Linked DNA regions of Mus musculus. The protein of the gene in region 4 interacts with the protein of the main gene of each other region in a pairwise test. Links are inferred from orthologs where the notes say so. Each region holds a gene or a part of one and is shown on either strand. Other genes may lie near its edges.

Region 1 (4,903 bases), on a different chromosome or scaffold from region 4:
GGCTGGTTCTATAAGATAGCAGGCTGAGCAAGCCAGGGAAGCAAGCCAGTAAGGAACATGGCTTCTGCATCAGCTCCTGCTTCCTGACCTGCTTGAGTTCCAGTCCTGACTTCCTTGGTGATGAACAGCAATGTGGAAGTGTAAGCTGAATAAACCCTTTCCTTCCCAACTTGCTTCTTGGTCATGATGTTTGTGCAGGAATAGAAACCCTGACTAAGACACAGGGGATGGTGGGTAACCCAGAACTCACAACTAGCCAAGGTACCAGTGGCTGAGTATAGAGTGTTCAATCACAAATAAGACATCTATGGCATGCCTCCTCTTTGGGCTTCAGGTCAAGTTTTTCCACCAAGTGCATGGGCCAATCGTGTTTAAGTATTCATGTATGTGTGTATGCCTTGGTGCACAGCTGTGTGTGTGCGAGTGTGGAGGCTAGAGTTTGACATGAATAACCCCTTCAGTCACCTTCACTTTAGGTTTGAGACAGTGTCTCCTACAGAGCCTGACTGGTTGGCAAGTCTCAGGATCCCCCTGGCCCCACCTCCCCAGCTTGGATGATATAGGCACAGTGGTTTTTTACTGTGGCTGCTGAGAATCAAACTCACACCTGCACAGCAAACATGTCACCAACCTGAGCCTTCTACCAAGTGTTGGTCTTTAAAACAGTTTGCATTGAAGGATTTCAGGGGCCAGTTATTAATTCTGGTGCTGCTTTCTTCGTGGGGTTGTGACCCAGGTCACACATCTGTATCTGATCCAGTGGTATAGAAGGCATGAGGCCCTTTGTGCTCACAGAGAAGAACAGAGAAGTTTCTCCTAGATAAACCAGGAATCTCATACATGCAGGCTTTTCACAGCAGGAAGAGTTACACCCATCTCTGTTTTGGATTGGAAGTATTTAATAGCTTGATACAGACCTTTGCTGTCTGCAGAGCCGAATCCCCAGCCTCTTCCCAGACCCCTGAGCATCCTATCTCAGTCAGTTAGAACCCATTCTTGTGGAAGAGGTCACAGGTACTTTGCCAAAGACATGTTTGTTGTCATGGAGTTTTGATGTGGTCATGTCTTAAGGTTTATTGTGGTAATTGTCACTCGGAAACTTTTTTCCAAGGTTGTACTATGTTTAGTGATGTCGAAAATAAACTGCTCAGGTCAGATTTCAGAAGTTTGAAGCAGCACAGGCTAACAAGTTGTGTTGAACCGGATTTCTTTCTTGCCTCGTGTGAATCATTACTCTGCAGGCTGGTAGTGGGTTTGCAGACAACCCCTCACCCCCAACACACACATACACACACACACACACACACACACAAAGACAGCCTGGGACAGGAGGGAACCTAGTGGGTACAGCCACTGTGAGTTTATGGCATTTGGGATGTCTGCTGGGTAACATAGCACATACTCTGAGGCATCTCACAATGGCTTAAAGATATCAACACTAGAACGGTGTGCACCTTACATATGGAGAATCAGGCCAAGGGCAGGTTATTCTGATCCACAGTCATGCAAGCATAGATGTCTGTGGCCTTCCAGGTCCTAGCTCAGCAGCAACCGCTTAGTGTGGAGTCTGACTCACAGCTGGGAAGGAGCAATGAAGGGTTCTTTAGCAGGGCTGGGGATGGAATTCAGGGTCTGGCACACGCAAGCGCTCTTACCCTGAGCCACGCCAATGGCCAGTCCTCTGTCCGTACACCTCACAGTGTGTGTAAAGGAAGAGAGGAAAGTGAAACATTCGAACAGTATACTTCCCAGCAAGGTCCCTATTCTGGGAAATGGTTTTTAGAAGCCAGGCTGCAGCTTTATGGAATGATTCGAGGTTAAGATAAACCAGTTTCATAATTCCGTTCCCGCCTCCAAGAGCCACCACATTCCAGCCATTGGCCCAGTTGGTGAATGTTCCCATTCTGCCCTGATACTGGTCACAGTGCCTGCTGGACTGATTGGAGGACTCTTGGAGAGGTGAGGTTTGAGCCTGGAGTCATCCTATCTCTGAGAGACAGCGGGGAGGGGAGGAGAGGGCTGCTTCTGGGACCCTAATCGACCAGGAGAACAAGAAGCCAGTCACTGCTGGAGGAAAAAGAGCTGACAGGGGCTAACAAGGCTGTAAGCTCAGGCAGCTAGGAACTAGGTAGTTGGGCAGGGTCTCGGGTTCAGCTCCTAACATATGACAGCTCACTGGGAACCTCACTGGCTCAGATGTGCCAATGAGAGAGAGGCACTACCTTCTTATCTACCCAAGTTCTCTCTTTGAAAAGACTTTGGTTTGTTTTGTAGCCTGGGTGTAATTATGAAAAGTCCAGAGATGATGGGTCCTTAGCAAGGAATTCCCTAGCTGGCTGTTCCCCAGACAGAGACGCTTCCAATGGCCAGCTAGATTCTGTGGAATTAAAAGGCTCCTGGGTCTGCCTCTCTGGACTGTGTCTGCAGTACTGAGGTTGTCTCTCTTCTGCAGGGAGGACAGACAGGGCTTCTTCCCTGCCAACCACCCTAGCCGCTTGGACCTTGGAAGAGAGCACGGTAATCCTTCCAGACATCGCCGCAGCAAGGTACGTCCTGGTCTGCCAGCGGCGGCGGCTCTTGGCAGGGGAAGGCCATTATGGGTCAAAGGTGAAGTAATCAGGGCTGGACACTGAAAAACACCCAGATGGCTGGGGTGGGGTGGCCTCTGTGTCAGAGGGCTTGCTAGAATGTGAGTAGCCTGGGTCACTCCCAACAAAGTGTGCGCAGTGGGGGTGGGGTGGTAGTGGTGGTTGGTGTGTGCAGTGGGGGGCACAAAGGCCTGTCGAGCATTCTTGAGTATTCTCCTCAGGCAAACTTGTCACCTCTGCTTTCTTCTCCTGAGCCGTGACTCTGGGTGGCTCAGTTGCTGCATGTCCTCTGTCTTTCTCACCTGGTTTGCAGCTTTAGTTGCCCCCTCGGGTCTCCGGCTGGACACTCACTCGTCCCTTGCATACATCCCATCCGCAGGATGGATAATGGCGCCTTGAGACCAACCAGCAGCCAGCCTCCATCATGCCCCACAACATATGAGCACTCTGCAGCCTTTGGAACGGTGCAGGGGTGGTCAACAGAACAGTTGTTCACCCCCCAGGCTTAACATTGCCCTTAGCTCATGTATTCCCCATGTGCACTGGGAGAGTCTAAGGGTTCTAAGAACCTGGTCCAAGCTGTCACCCATTCACTCCAAGGATAGCAATGCTATTCTTCCTGAAAGTCCTTCTGCTTCCTCTTCACGACCTGAAAACCATCATCCTCACCATGGCCTGCACACAAGGCCATCATGTCCCTAATATCCTTGCAAACAAGGGCTCTGGGGACCTTGGATCTGATATCTGGTCTCTGACAGTGGAAAAGGTGGCTGGCACAGAGTTCTTGTGCTCTTGGGATTTTCTGGGCTCTCCTGAGCATCCCTTTGGGTTTTGCATGTGAGCTACAAAGCCATTGGCTGAGCTGTTCCCCAACCTCCTTCCCTCAGCTGGTAAGACAGCTCAGCAGGTGAACGTGTCTGCCACCAAGCTTGAGTGCCACCAAGCTTGGTGATCTGGCTTTGTTCTCCAGGACTCACACGGTCGGGGGGGGGGGGGGGGGGGGGGAGGGGAGAGCCATTTCCAAAACTGTGCTGAGTGCTTCCTGGGGGGGGGGGGGTGCTTGCTGCAGATGGGCTATACCTTAACTAAAAAGCTGTAGTTTGCAGATATCATGGTTAGTATAAGCCATGGCGTGGTATGATTTCAATTCTGCACAGTCTAAAATCCTTCCTTACTTGAATTTTACAATGTTGCATGCTATTGGCAGCAAATTTGCTTTCTATATTCCAGTTAGAAGACAAGCTGCCTCATAAGGACATGGCTTTGGTGCAAACTCCAACCCCGAGCCATCAGACAGAGGAGGACTATGAGGCTGATGCTGAGTTGCTAAGGTAACCCAGGGGGTGGACTTCTTGGGAAGGGCTGGTTGTATTGAAGGCAGCATGTGTTCTCTCAATTAGGAATAACCACTTGTCCTGTCCACTGTTCTATTGCTGTGAAAAGACACCACCACCAAGGCAACTCTTAAAATGGAAAGCGTTTAATTGGGGCTTGCTTGCAGTTTTAGAGGCTAGTCCATTACCATCATGGTGGGAGCCTGGAGGTGCCCGTGGCACTAGAGTAGAAGCTGAGAGTTTTACATCCTGATCCACAAGCAGGCAGGCAGAGAGAGATAGAGGCCTGGAGAGAACTCTTGAAACCTCAAAGCCCACCCTCATTGACACACTTCCTCCAACAAGTCCACACCTCCTAATCCTTCTGATCCTTTCAAACAGTTCTACTCCCTAGTGATTAAGTATTTAAATATATGAGCCTATGGGGCCATTCTCATTCAAACTACCACACCACTCCAGGATCACTGTGTGGAAAGAGGGATTTATCTTCTCAAAAGTCTCCATTATGCAGCACTCTGGAGACAGGGGCAGGCGGATTTCTGAGTTTGAGGCCAGCCTGGTCTACAGAGTGAGTTCCAGGGCAGCCAGGGCTATACAGAGAAACCCTGTCTCGAAAAACCAAACCAAACCAAACCAAACCAAACCAAACCAAACCAAACCAAACCAAACCAAACCAAACCAAACCAAACCAACCAACCAACCAACCAAACAAACAAACAAACAAAGTCTCCATTATGCTGAGGAAATGTTGTTTCCTTGAGGAGAAAATACTCCATGAGGTTGACTGTAATATTTTGGAGAGTTAAGTAAACATTTAGTCAAATGTGCAGTGTTGGGCTCCAAGGACTATGGCAAATGGAGCAGAGACAATGAATGGGGGGTGGGATGGGGGTGGGGAGCAACAGGAAGGGGGTCAGAAACCCTGTGACTACTTATGGAAATCACACTGGGACCAGCTGTGAGGAGGCAGATCAACTTTAC
Region 2 (4,230 bases), on a different chromosome or scaffold from region 4:
GGGGTACAGAGTTACCTCCAGTGCAGCTAATATAGAAGCTAGAGATGCTAGAACACGCCAGACAAAGGCACTCATTGGGTGCCAGGACACACAAATTCAGGGGAAATGTTTCTGTCTCGCTTGGCCTTGTACACTTTCTATTTCTGCCTTCCATGTTACCATCTCCTTGTCCATTATAATGGAAAATAATTTGTGATCCCACCATGGTACCTGTCAATTATAAACTCAGCTACCACCTATTTCTTAAGTTATGTACCAATTCAAGTACTTCATTCTAACTTTAGAAGTAAGTACAATTACAATCCCCATTTTACATACAGGACGTGAAGGCTTGTGTGCATTGCCCAAGGCCAGCACTAGGAAGCAATGGAGTAGTGACTCAAACCTCCTGACTTCACCTTTATAGCTGCTGAAGGCTAGCCTCCTGCTATGAAATTCAGCGCTTGGGGGCTCACTAGCAAGGACACATTGCTATTTTAAAAGTTCTCATCAATAATACTGGAGTTGTGCAAAAGAATATCTACACATGCCGGGCGTGGTGGCGCACGCCTTTAATCCCAGCACTTGGGAGGTAGAGGCAGGCGGATTTCTGAGTTTGAGGCCAGCCTGGTCTACAAGGTGAGTTCCAGGACAGCCAGGGCTATACAGAGAAACCCTGTCTCAAAAAACCAAAAACCAAAAACCAAAACAAAACAAAAAAAAAGACTATCTACACATATGCATATGCTTATTGAGTACTAAATGAGAACCCACCCAAGAAACTTATAAATGAATTCTCTCTTCCCCTAGTTCCCTGGATATTTCCCTACGTACACTTCTCCAAACCCTATCCTTTGGTCTGCCCCCACCCCCAGAATTTTGTCCTTATTCTGAATTCCGTGTTTTTTATTCTCTTACCTTTAAAAACATTGGTGATTTACCATGCAGTGATGTGTCTCTGCAAACATAGCCACAGTAGAGGAAGAACTCACGGCTTCTCTGAAGAGGCAGCTGAAGCTCAGCCTCCACAGCCTAGGCCCCTTAGGCAGACACCTCAGGAGCTAGAGACTATGTATCCAACCCCGGATGTGCCCCAGAAGTGTGAGGGATATACCTGAGATAGTCTCTCCTGCACAATTTCCGTCCCAGCTTGTAGTAGAGGCGCCTCCCCACCTCTCCCAGCCGACACCCACAGAGGTCACAGCTGAGGCAATCCTCATGCCAGTACTGGTCGATGGCTTTCAGGAAGTAGCGGTCCCCTATGTTCTGCTGGCAGCCACCACATGTCAGCAGGGATGGGGGTATCTGCAGCACCTCATCCACGGGTTCCCTGGGGAAGAGCCAAGCATTAGGATATGCTGCCTGAAGGGAGACAAGCACAAAGTCCCAGGAATCACTGCATGCCCAAGGTTCTATGGGGAACCTCACTACATTTCCTTCCAGCAGTATAAGGAGAAAGGACGCCCAAATTCAGACTGCATAGACACAGACAACCTTGGATAAAGACGGGAGTGGGCTAGAGAGACCTTATCATCTGAAAAACTGAAGACGGGATACCAGGAGGTGTCCAAGGCACCTACAGATAGCCCTTGGACCCTTGACTACATTCCAGCATCTCTGCAGGCACCTCTGATCCAATCTGCTTCTTCCTCCTTCCCCTCCTACTCTCCTCCATCTTCCCAGCCCTCCCTCCCTTTTTTCTTTGGACACAGGCACTGCCAAAGAATCCCAAAGAATAGACTTGGGACCAAAGGAGTTGCTCACAGCCAAAGCATCTGATGACCCCCCCCCCCCCCAGTGTGCTAACAATCTACAGATAACCTGTTGAATGCACCCTACAAAGACCTTCCCGCTGCACAGAATCAAAGGTAGAGAAGGAAGAAAGCCATCGAAATTATATTTGGTTGCCTTCTCTTCCCCAAACAGAAAGTTCCGTCAATATCTGATTATTCCGATTGAAGTTCTGCATTCTTCCATACATCCTGCATGAGTCTTTGGATGGAGATTCGGTTTCATAGGTAGAGAGACAGCCCAACATGTCAGAGGCCCAACGGTCATTTCTCCAGTACCACCTAAAGTGGGGACATACACCCAGTCCATCCTGAGGTGGAACCTGGAGGAGCAGGATGGCAAGTTTATCAGCATCATCCGGAGGCTCTGGGCTGCGTTAGACACTGTCTCAAAGAAGTACAAGATCTGAATGACTCTGGCAGGAAATCTAGGTCACGATGCAGCTCTTAAACAGACAGAGGATAGTGGTGATGTGGTTTTTTTTTTTCCTTCAAACTTTTTTCACCACAGCAAAAGTAGTTTGAATAAAATCAAATTAGTAAAGAGAGTGGAGGAGGGGGCCAAACAATGGATTTAAAAGAGAGTGGAAGGCAATTAAATTGATACCAAAGTCTCAATCCAGGCACGGTGTTCACAGTGAGCCTGAGGGATGTGTTCTTTCATTTAAAAAGTGTTATGTAGGGGATCACAAGATGCTTAGGAGGTGAGGGTGCTTGCCACCAAGCCCAATGATCTGATGTGGTCCCCAGGACACACACAGCGGAAAGAAAGAGCCAATTACAGCAGGCTGTTCTATCCATGCACATAGATAAACACACACACACACACACACACACTAATGTAAAAATTTGCTTTAAAGTCACACATAGGGCCTTCTGCTTGCTTTGCCTCCCTGGAACCTGACCACTTTTGTTTTACATGTAAGAAATAACTTTACTGAGAGAAAACGGCATGGAAGAAATGAATGTGATGTCAGATAGGAGACAGGGGATACTTAATGCTTGTTAATTTGTAATATGTGTTCCTGGAACACTGTTCAAATAAAACCTGCTTTTAAAAAAATCTAGTATAAAAATTTTTTTAATTGGTTTTTATTCCTATTATGAAATCTCCAATGGAATTTCCTCCTGAGTACCCTAGGTGATATGTCTGTGTCTCTTAGTTTTATTTGGCACTTTTACCAAATGACCTTGTGGCGTAATTGGCCTGTACCCATGAAGCCCAGCTTCATTATAGTTGGGGACAGTGAGACTCAGGGAATGAGTGTTTATAGGGCACTCCAGCATCTACAGGTGACCCTATCTAGGAGACTATTAAGCATCCGTTGTCAATATTTAGCTAAATGCTAATGCCAAACCCACCATTTTAGCACAAAATATAAGAGTATCTTCTTTTAGAACCAGGAAGTTTGAAGCTCAGGTCAGTTTCTTTGAGAAAAACAAAGATCAAGTCAGGTTTTAGGTGTTGTTTGTTTGTTTGTTGTTTCAGTACTGATGATCAAACCCAGGTCCCTAGTCGCTTTAGGTAAGTGCTCCACCACTGACTTCTTTCTCAATTCTGTTTGTTTATATTGTTTTTAAAGGTTTATTTTTATTTATAATTGTATGTGTGTGTGTGTGGGGGGGGGGGAAGGGTGAAGATGCACACAAGGGCAGGTGCCCCAGAAGGCCATGGGCCTCAGATACCCTAGAGATGGGGTTACAGAGGGTTGTGAGCCACCCAGTATGGGTGCTGGGAATCCAACCTGGGTCCCATGTAAGAGCAGGGGATGCTCTTAACCACTGAGCTGTATTCCGGTTCTCTCTTCCCTTCACATGGGTTCCAGGAATCAAACTCAGGTCATCAGACTTAGAGCAAGCACCTTTAGCAGCTGAGGCAGCTCGAAAACCCTTTCCTTCCTTTTAAAGTTTAAGACAAGATCTCACTAAATTGCCCAGGTTGTCCTGGAACTTTCCATTCTTCTGCCCCAGTCTCTCATGTATACAGAATTATGGGTGAGGTGGGCTAAGACCTTAAATCGTTTTAATAATACACTAGAAGTTGCCAGGCAGTGGTGGCACACACCTAAAAATCCCAGCACTCTGGAGGCAGAAGCAGGTGGATTTCTGAGTTTGAGGCCAGCCTGGGCTGCAGTGTGAGTTTCAGGACAGCCAGAACTACAAAGAGAAACCCTGTCAGGTTCCTACTAGAGCCTTTGTTTCTATAGGGTATATATAAGGCATCCATCCTCATATTTGAAAGTTAACTAAGATCCTTGGCCTATTCAAGTGCACCAATTCAGAATCTAATCTCCATCCTTTGCATAGCTCAAGGTTTTACAGTGGGCTTTCAAAAACACTCACAGAACTCCCATCATGCTTGATGCCCAGAGGGTGGATGTTATTGCAGCCAACTTTGAAAGAGAAGAATCTGTACTTAGCTGGAACAAAATTCGCTAGAATTAAAATGACCTGTAGGGAA
Region 3 (4,230 bases), on a different chromosome or scaffold from region 4:
TTATGTGTATGAGTGTTCTGTCTGTCTGTATGTGCCCAATGTGCATGCTTGGTGACCTCAGAGGAGGGCATCAGATACCTTGGAAGTTACAGATGGTTGTGAAACCTGTGTCCTTTGTAAGAACAAGTGCTCTTAACCAATGAGGCGTTTCTCCACCTCTAGGTCTATGCATTTAAAGTAGCCACAGATTTTCTGAAATCAAGGGGTTGGGAGATGTTTTTTTGAGCCCTATACTCCCTTATGTTAACCTTAGGAATAGTGTGACAAACTCTGATTGGGAAGGTGGGGAAAAGGTCTAAAGAAAACCAGAGTGGTCTCCACACTCACCTCAAAGCAAATATTCTCCCCTTCCTTGTCACAGTCCAGCCACAGCACAACATAGTCACAGCCTCTGCCCTCCACCTGCCACAAAGCACACACTGACAATCAACCCTATGACATTCCCCTTTGGGGACAGGAGATGGAACCAGGTACTGGGCTTCCAGTACGAGGAGCTGAGCAAGAAGCAGTCTACAGCGAGGCTGTCTCAGACTCAGAAAAGGTTTTGGTTCAGAACTATCAAACTGTTAGATCAGAAAATTGTATTTACAGTCTGTCTATGCTTCTGCGTGTGGTGTGGAGCATGTGCAGGGCAAGCAGGTGCATAAGTGGGGCAGAGTCAGAGGACACTGTGGGGTACCTTGTTCTACCAGTCTCTGTCTTGTCCACTTAAGACAAGGTTTCTCACCGAACCTTGAAGTACGTGGTTAGCCAGCAAGCCCCAGCGATCCTCCTGTCTCTGCCCTCCACAGCACTGACCATGGGTGCTAAGATCCAAACTCAGGATCTTATGTTTGTGCAGCAAGTGCTCTTACCCACTGAGCCATCTAACCCCTAGGATAAGGATTTTTACTTTTATTATATAGTCACAAAATACAGTGTGTGCTCCTTAATTTCCTGAGGGAGAGGCCTTACTTTTTACATTTTCAAACATGTACATAATATACTTCTAGTACATTCGACCCCATCATTTTCTCTCGCCCTCATCTACTCTCACTGGCCCTCCTCCTCTCCGTATGACATAAGCATCAAGAGTGAAATGAAACAGTTCAGTATTAACAGTGCTTGTTTTGGATCATGTGGTTTTACTGTTTTTCCTTTAAACTTATCTTTATTTTCCAGTGTTTTGTTCTGTTTTGTTTTGTTTTTTGTAAACAAGTATTTCTTGAAACACTTTCTCAGATTTTTGTTTTTTTCTTATTGAGTGAGACAGGGTCTGTCTGTGTAGACCAAGCTGGCTTTGAACTCACAGGGGTTCATCTGCCTCTGCCTCCCTGGTGCCGGTAATCTCACCATGAGCCGTCAAGGATGTTATATCAGACCAGTTAGCACCTAAGACCTATTTTTCAAATTATAACTTAGGCAATATTGACTGGGCTGGTTTGGATAACCAAAGATAGCTTCCAAGGGCTTTAACCACATGGTAGCAGCTTACATTACATTACTCAGGAAGGGAAGGATTAGACGTTTCCAGTTTTTTGGTTTTTGTTTGTTTTTTTAATAAGATGGGCTCCTCGGTGGGCTTGTAGATGCTCCCTTACCTGCAGGAACTTGACCATGTTCAGCTTGGGGTTAGCTTCCTTTTTCTCTGTTGGAGCTTGGCTGAAGAGCTCTGCAGGATCCACCTTATCCCACTTGTTGTACTTCCCTGTAAACCGTATCCAAAGACACTGAGCCACACTTCACAAAGGCTTGGCCTCTGCAGCTGTCACAACTAGGAATAGGATAGGGTGTATCATGCAGAGATGGGGACGGGTAACTTACCCAGCTGTTAACCACTTCCTGATCTGTTGGGAACAGGGTCTAACTGGACCCTGGGTAGTGCTGTACGGTGTTCCTTTCAATAGGACAGAGACAGGAGGAGAGTGGTCATCTTACCCAGAAAATCCAGTGTCATCACATGACCGCAGACAGACGTCATCTTGAAGTGGACAGGTTGGCCAGCAAAGGTTCCTGTGTACTTGTGCACTGAACATGCCCCATTCAGCCCTTTGTGTGAGGACATGTTTCCTAGGGAGGCAAACCACACAGACAACTGTGAGGCTGACTTATAACCCTGTGGGTCCCTGAGCCTACATGCTAACTGTCAGGGGACACGAGTTCTCCTTCTCCAGAGTGGTCACTGGTAACATCCCTTAGCTCCCACTGCAGATAAGTGGGTACTGGGTGGCTTAATGGTGCTGAGGGATGGAAGCATCTATGAAAGTTTCACAGAAATTCACACCAGTCCCATACTTCCTGGGAACTAGAGGCGGAGACTCTTCAGGTCTCACTCCATTTCTATTTTCAATTTGAATTCTACCTTTATTTATTTAGATTTTAAGGTTATTATATCTTACACTATGGTTCCTCAGCTGAACACTCTTGGCACTTGGAAGTGAGATGATGCCTTCTGGATCCCCCTGGACCTTTGGAGTGTGTATTCTCAGCCTAACTAGGGGCTCTTCCTCCTCCAAGAGCTGGTAAAAGGAGGTCAAAGTGGATGTCTGCCATTGCTGGATAGCCACTCAGCATCCAAGTACTCTTTCTATTTAGAGGGCCCTCCCTCCATGTACCACCTCAGTAGCAGAGTGGATCCTGATGGGCAAATCTTCCACTACCTTCCTGGCTCTGAGGTCACTGGCCACTTGTGAGTGACATGAGATGTAGGGAATGTAACTGTAACCACATCCAGGGCCCAGCAGATAGTAGTGAGTATCTAGTGGTGCAAAAACTAAGCCCAGCATGCTGACAATGACTGCACTTTGTACATCATTACTTTTCCTGGAGGCTTCAGCCCTGGGACTTCCACATGTGGACATAGCATGTCACAGGAGACTTGCTAATAAGGTGCTTCCTGAAACCTGCCAATCCCAGCTGAACCCACCAGAAAAAGAAATGATCAAAAAAGCACAAAAGACTCTGCTTATAGATGAAAGCAATCAAACAGCCTAGTGTTTGTTTTTCCTACCTCGGGAGAGGATTTTGGCAATGGACTGTGCCAGGGATGGCTTTTCTGCTACCATGAGCACGGTCTTCATTCTTGCTCCTGGCTGTCAGGGCCCACAGACCGTTGCACCCAGACCCAGAACAGCAGCAATAAAAAAGCTTAGAAATGTCTCCTCTGTAGCTCAACACGACTGCCAATGCTGACTCCTAAGGGGAAGAAAAGACAGTACATTTATATCATCTCTCCAATGCTCAGAGAACTCTGTGAAGAGGGACAGAGAAGGCACGGACTAGAGGGAGGTGTGATGTGCTTATGGAGTGCCTTCGTCCAGGCAGCACGTAGCTAAGTGTGGTTAACGATTGCTGAGGAAAGGAAAAAACGTTTTCTTCAGTGGTGTAGCTACTGCTGAAGTATCCAGGATCCTGTAAATAACCTAACGGAACTCACTGGGTTACGCACTCAGAAGGCAGAGGGCAACAGTTAGGAAGAGGAAGGCAATCACAGAGAATAGGGCCGAAAAAGGCAGTCAGTGATGAGTATAAAAAGTACATTATATTCGCCGGGCGTGGTGGCGCACGCCTTTAATCCCAGCACTTGGGAGGCAGAGGCAGGCAAATTTCTGAGTTCGAGGCCAGCCTGGTCTACAGAGTGAGTTCCAGGACAGCCAGGGCTATACAGAGAAACTGTCTTGACCCCCCCCCCCCCCCAAAAAAAAGTACGTTATATTCACGTATGAAAATGTCACGAGGAAACCCATTATTATGATAAGGACAAGGAATGTACTTTTCTTCCTTAGGTTGGTGATGGAGATGGAACCCAGGGCCACCAGAATGCTAAGTAAGCACTGACCAATTGTTCAGGCAGTGGGAGTCTGGCTCTATGGAGAGAAGCAGCAGTGACTATGACTTTGACTATGACTAAAACATGCTGGGACCTACAGACCTGGACTCATAGGTTGGGGCAGGGTGTGTGGACCCAAGCCCCTGGACTAGCTGTTGGGATACCTGCCTGTGAAATCATCTCTTAGAAGGGAAAATAGAACAGTGTTATGGAGAGACAAAGAGGAAACTAGGATTGAGGGATTAAGTAGGGAAGGGGATACAAGAAGGAATGTGGGGAGGGACAACTAACACTCAGAGACATGAGTTACCAGATAATAGGCTCTGACAGTATCCCAACTAACCAAGTTTTCAAACCTCCAGTGCCAGGAATGAGTAACAGCTTGTTGAGCAGGCCAAAGAGGCACCATGGACACCCCCACA
Region 4 (4,901 bases):
GAGGAAGGTTAAGGAGAGACCCCTTGTGGAGGTGCTTGTCCTAAGAGAGTGGGAGGATTTGCTGAGAAACCAAAAAAAAAAAGTGCATGTTAAATTTCAAATAAAGTTAAAATCTGGATCATCCCAATACTGTATCCCAGACTCAGGCTAAGCAAGAGAAGTTCAAATTTGGGGTCAGCTTGGCTCCATAGCAAGTTTCCTGTCAATCGGCCCTACCGTGGCAGGACCTTGTCTAAATAACAAATAATATCTTTCTGCCTTGATCAGTGCTGGGAACGGCTGGGGACAGAACCCAGAGCATCCTGCATGCAAAGCTCTGCTTCAGCGCATTATTACACCCCCAGACATAGGGCTGTTTTATATACACACCCACTGCCTTGGGATAGACCCTGCTTCCACAGTTAACATGTCAGCTCCAAAGTGATCATTTCTCACTGGCAGGATCTGTTCAAACTAGACTTGGAGACTTAAGGACTTAAACTAGCTTCTGTGCCCTCAGCACAAAGTGTAACATATAGCCAAGAAACTAGGAAACATTAGCCGGGGGCACCAGGGCCCTCTGTTGTTTTATGGGTTGCAAGACAATATGTTGCTACAACTTCTGTATTTGAGTGTCTTGACATTGGTGGTGAGCCTGGCCTTCAATGGCTGAGCCATCTCTCTAACCTTGCTCTGGTATTTCATTGTTGAAACTAGGGTGGTCTCACTCTGTAGCCCAGCTTGCCCTAGAACTTGCTGGATTTCCCAGGCTGGTCTTGAACCAGTGGTTCCCCTCTCTTGCCTCAGCCTCCCAAGTGCTAAACATGCACTACCATTCCCTATATATTCTCCCCCACCCCCACCCCCCGCCCAGCCTCAGCTGGAATTCACCCTGAAGACCAGTCTAGTATCGAACAACCTATACGTTTTTGTTTTTCAAAGAAGTTACGAGGTTGGACAGGCAAGGCATAGGCAGGCCTTTAATCCCAACACTGCAGTAAGCAATAGCAGGTGGATCTCCATGAGTTGAAGGCTGGCCTGGTCTACACAGTTCAAGCCAGACAGGGCTACCGAGACCCTGCCTCAAAGACAAACAACAAACCAACAATCCATTAAAAGACATATGAATAGAATAAAAAGCATAAAAACTGAAAGCTGTTTTCATCCCTTCCCCACCCCTCCTCAGTCATTCTTCCACATGGAGATGGATAAACATTTCCAAGCCTAATATACACATCAAATTCTCCCATTCTACAGAGGACACTGCCGCATTGAAGTTGAAGTGCTCATGAAAGACCACAGAGCTGGCAAGTGCTCAAGCTGAAATTCAAATCCAAATTGTCTGACTCATAATTCAGCGTGCATTCCTCCCGCTAAGCTCCAGGGTGTAAAATTTTATGGATGAAGAAACCGAGGCTCAGAGAGGTCCCTGGCCATCAGAGCCACATGGTTCACTGCCCAGTATGGGAAAAGCGGAGGCGATGGCATTGGCTGCATGGAGGAGAGGGCCTTGGCTTGAGCAGATCTGAGTTTGCTCAGGGCTACATGGGTCTAGTTTGCAAATCCCCTTGCTGGTTCGGGGCTAGCCCAGGTTCTTCGAGGACAGGCTCCAACCAAAAGGAGCCTGCCAGAGTTGGTGGGGTCTCGAGCCCCGGGGCGGGCGCGGGAACCGTGTCCACAGCGTGGCTGCAAGCTCTTTAGCTGTACGGGGCACCCGGGGTGGGTGGTTGAGTCCGGCGCGTGGCGGGCGGGGCACGGGTGGCGTGGGGCGGAGCCTGCCGCGGGCGGCGCTGTCCTGGGGCTCCGGGCCGCGGTGGCCACTACCAGAGGCAGCTGGAGAGAGCGGGCGCAGAGAAGGTAGAACCTCCCCGACCCCCCGCCTGGGCTCTGACTGTCTCAGAACAGCGGACCCTAAGGCGAATTCCTGGGGAGGGGGTCTGGTCCCTGGGACTCCGAGTCCCATCACCCGGGCGAGGGCTTGTGCCAAGATTCCTATTAAGTCACATAGTGAAGTTGGAAAACATACCCAGGACCTCCCTGCACGCCGGCACAGCCGGCTCTTCCCTGAGGGGCTTCGGGAAGATGCGACCAGACGCCTGTACTCTGGGAACGCAGGGATAGGGTGTCCGGGAGGGATGCGGGTGAGTGCTCTTTGCACAACTCAATCTGTTGTGAGAGGTTGAGGGAAAAGACACCTGTTGGGATGTTTGGGGGGGGGGGGATGCCGTGAAAACCCTGGCATTCTGACAGGACAGCATCTCTCCTCTGCTAGCCCAGCCCTTACTAACCCTCCCTCCACCCGTCCACTCTGCATTGGCTCATTTGCCTGAAGTGAGCCTGGGGTGAAGGGGTTAGCACCCTGCAAGTCACTTTCCTTGGTGTCACTGGCCCACAAGGGGGTGTGACCAGGAGCAGCATAGGTTTGTGCTCAGCCAGGGTCCACCGTGACTTCAGGATGCCCACTTCCAACCTCATTTTCCTCACCCTGGGCGTGGAGAAAGGACAAACATACATTTGTGCGGGGGGGGGGGGGGGTGTCGGCTCCTGCTCCCCTATGCAGGGGAGGGTGGGGTGGACTTTTCCAGAGAGGGAGCCAGGCCTGGCCCTAGCCCCAGGAGTTCTCGTCACCCCCCACCCCTCACTTCTCCAGAGAGCTGCCAAAACCAGCTCAGGACAGGATTATGTGTACTGGGTAGACCACGGAGAGGCATCAGGGACAGACTGGAGGAGCAGAGAGGCGCAGAGGGAGGTGGAGAGGGGACCAGCATCAGACAGGTTGTGTCCATCACACACACCCCCCATCCTTCCAGCCTCACTGGGCAGGCAGAGGGCTGATGAGTGGGTTGAACAGGGCCACTCGTCCATCAGGGAAGTCGTAGATTCAGTGGCTGGCTCAACTGAAGAAGGACGTGGTGCCTTTTACCTCCTCCCTAGCTCCAAGAACTCAGCTCAGCCCATTTGGTCTCCTCCTCAAATTCCCAAGCCCTGGGGTCCCAGGGAGGGGGAGCAGGACCTAGCTTTGCCCCCCTCTCTGTCCTTTGCATGCCCTGATCTGGCCTACTTTGGCCAGCGATCCTTGGATTCTTCTCATGGTGCCATTCAAAGGCAGCAGAAACAGTGTTTTTCCTGGAAAGCAGAACTTAGATGGGATGAGGATGTGGGTAGGCGGGGCCTCAAAGAGAAGGCAGGGAATGGAGGATGGGGGTAGGGAGAGACAAGATTTGAGGACAGGTATGAAGACCCCTGCTACCCAGTGTTTACAGCTAGACTTAAGGGTGGACTTTCCAGGGATACGGGAGGGAGAACCTGGCAAGCATGGGCTGCTATGGCTACATCTCTCCTTCTTAGGTGTCCCAGTTTGGCTGAGCATTGTAAGGAAAAAAAAAAAAGCAGAAAACTAGTTGTACATGAGCTAAGTCACCCTGAGCCAGTGCCTTGTGGATGCTGGCACTCATGGGGAGGATAAGTCACTGCCTCTTCTCAGGAGATGAAGCCATTAACCCACTTAGTTTATCCCTTGGACAAAAAAAAATGCCCGGGGCAGCCTGTATGAGCCTTGTCCTCCGTAAGGAGCTTAGTTAAAAGGAAAAGAAACAAATGCTCTTGGGTTCTGTGAGCGGGAGGAGGTTGGTTTTCCTTTTTTTGTTGTTTGTTTGTTTGTTTTGTGATAGAGGTCCCATATCACCCAAGCTGAACCCCTTGAACTCCATCCCAACTGTGGAATTAAGGCTTGTGACCCCACCCCTGGTGCCCGGAGGCCTCTGGCTGGCCCCTCATGGGTGACTGGCATAGCCTGCCTCCTCTAGGCCCTAGAGCTCTAGGAGAAAGAAGCTCTGGCCCAAGCTGCCTATGCACAACCCCTACCCCCACCCACATCAGCCTCCAAAGGAGCTAAGTCCATCTTGGGCCATAGGGAGGAGACTAAACTGAACTAAGAGGCTGAGGTCAGACCCCCCACCCTCTAGCAGATGACAAAGACAACGTCCCTTCTTGCTCCCACCCTTAGGTCCTAAAGGGGTGGACCATTCCTCCCCCACCCCTCCAGGCTGTTGGTGTTGTGCTGAGACAGCCCTTCAGTCCCCCCAGATAGCTGGAGGGGTAACGCCATGCTCCTCCCTCCTCAGAGCACCCTCCAAGCCCCGATGCCAGAGTAGCCACCCTGTCCCCTGCTCCCCAGCCCAGGGGCAGTCACAGGAAGAGCAATGGAATCTTGGCTGGGCAGGTAAGAAAGAGGGGTAGCAGTGGAAAGGACCAGCTCTGTCTCCATTAGGGCAGGGAAGGGGCAGAGGGTAGCGGTGCACACCTGTAACTCAAGCAGAGGCAGGTGGATGCCTGTGAGTTTGAGGGCAACCTGGCCTACAGAGTGAGTTCCAGGACATTCAGAACTCAGAACTGTTACACAGAGAAACCCTGTCTCAACACACACACACACACACACAAACACACACACACACACACACACACACACACACACACACACGACACACGAGAGAGAGAGAGGGGGGGGGGGGGACACACACGCACACAGGAAGGGACTGTGAACTGTTGGAAGGGGTCTGGCAAGTGACAAGGGACGTCTGCTTCCTGAGAAGCTGGGTGGGGGCAGGCAATGTCGTAACACCTCTGGCTCCCTCTGATGTCCCCCACCCCTCGGTGTGCAGGCTCTGGCTGTGTATGATGCTGCTCCTGCCTCTCCCTCAGCCCTGCCAGGATCAGGAGGTGAGCCCGGGACAAGTGAGCCACTGCTACCCTGCCCAGGGTCCCTCCACTGTGCCCTGGCCTCCCCTGTAGGGTGGCTTCACATTCCCACTGGGAGACTTCGGCCCCTTGTATCAGGTTTGGCCCACCCAGACTGACTCCCTCTCTTAGTCTAATAACCTAGAAAAGGCTGGAGTTTGGCCCTACCTGTAAATGTGACCTTG

What was found.
Region 1: the proteins of Adamtsl4 (region 4) and Apol6 interact in binary tests that used the Homo sapiens proteins (3 or more experiments, as listed by UniProt). The two-hybrid records come from large-scale screens. The link is inferred for Mus musculus from reciprocal best matches to the Homo sapiens genes ADAMTSL4 and APOL6.
Region 2: the proteins of Adamtsl4 (region 4) and Lmo2 interact in binary tests that used the Homo sapiens proteins (3 or more experiments, as listed by UniProt). The two-hybrid records come from large-scale screens. The link is inferred for Mus musculus from reciprocal best matches to the Homo sapiens genes ADAMTSL4 and LMO2.
Region 3: the proteins of Adamtsl4 (region 4) and Top3b interact in binary tests that used the Homo sapiens proteins (3 or more experiments, as listed by UniProt). The two-hybrid records come from large-scale screens. The link is inferred for Mus musculus from reciprocal best matches to the Homo sapiens genes ADAMTSL4 and TOP3B.

Annotation. Positions count from the first base shown.
Region 1 is NC_000081.6:77,043,213-77,048,115, forward strand, and holds the start of Apol6 (apolipoprotein L6), read left to right. Parts: upstream 1-1,862; 5' UTR 1,863-1,959; intron 1,960-1,972; exon of another isoform or gene 1,973-2,128; intron 2,129-2,452; 5' UTR 2,453-2,546; intron 2,547-3,818; 5' UTR 3,819-3,845; coding exon 3,846-3,919; intron 3,920-4,903. UniProt on the Homo sapiens protein: May affect the movement of lipids in the cytoplasm or allow the binding of lipids to organelles.
Region 2 is NC_000068.7:103,973,084-103,977,313, reverse strand, and holds part of Lmo2 (rhombotin-2), read right to left. Parts: intron 1,310-4,230; coding exon 1,094-1,309; intron 1-1,093. UniProt on the Homo sapiens protein: Acts with TAL1/SCL to regulate red blood cell development. Also acts with LDB1 to maintain erythroid precursors in an immature state.
Region 3 is NC_000082.6:16,876,776-16,881,005, reverse strand, and holds part of Top3b (DNA topoisomerase 3-beta-1), read right to left. Parts: intron 3,175-4,230; 5' UTR 3,060-3,174; coding exon 2,990-3,059; intron 2,050-2,989; coding exon 1,918-2,049; intron 1,754-1,917; exon of another isoform or gene 1,688-1,753; coding exon 1,581-1,687; intron 403-1,580; coding exon 328-402; intron 1-327. UniProt on the Homo sapiens protein: Releases the supercoiling and torsional tension of DNA introduced during the DNA replication and transcription by transiently cleaving and rejoining one strand of the DNA duplex.
Region 4 is NC_000069.6:95,684,756-95,689,656, reverse strand, and holds the start of Adamtsl4 (ADAMTS-like protein 4 precursor), read left to right. Parts: upstream 1-1,739; 5' UTR 1,740-1,836; intron 1,837-3,985; exon of another isoform or gene 3,986-4,103; 5' UTR 4,104-4,181; coding exon 4,182-4,201; intron 4,202-4,640; coding exon 4,641-4,698; intron 4,699-4,901. UniProt on the Homo sapiens protein: Positive regulation of apoptosis. May facilitate FBN1 microfibril biogenesis.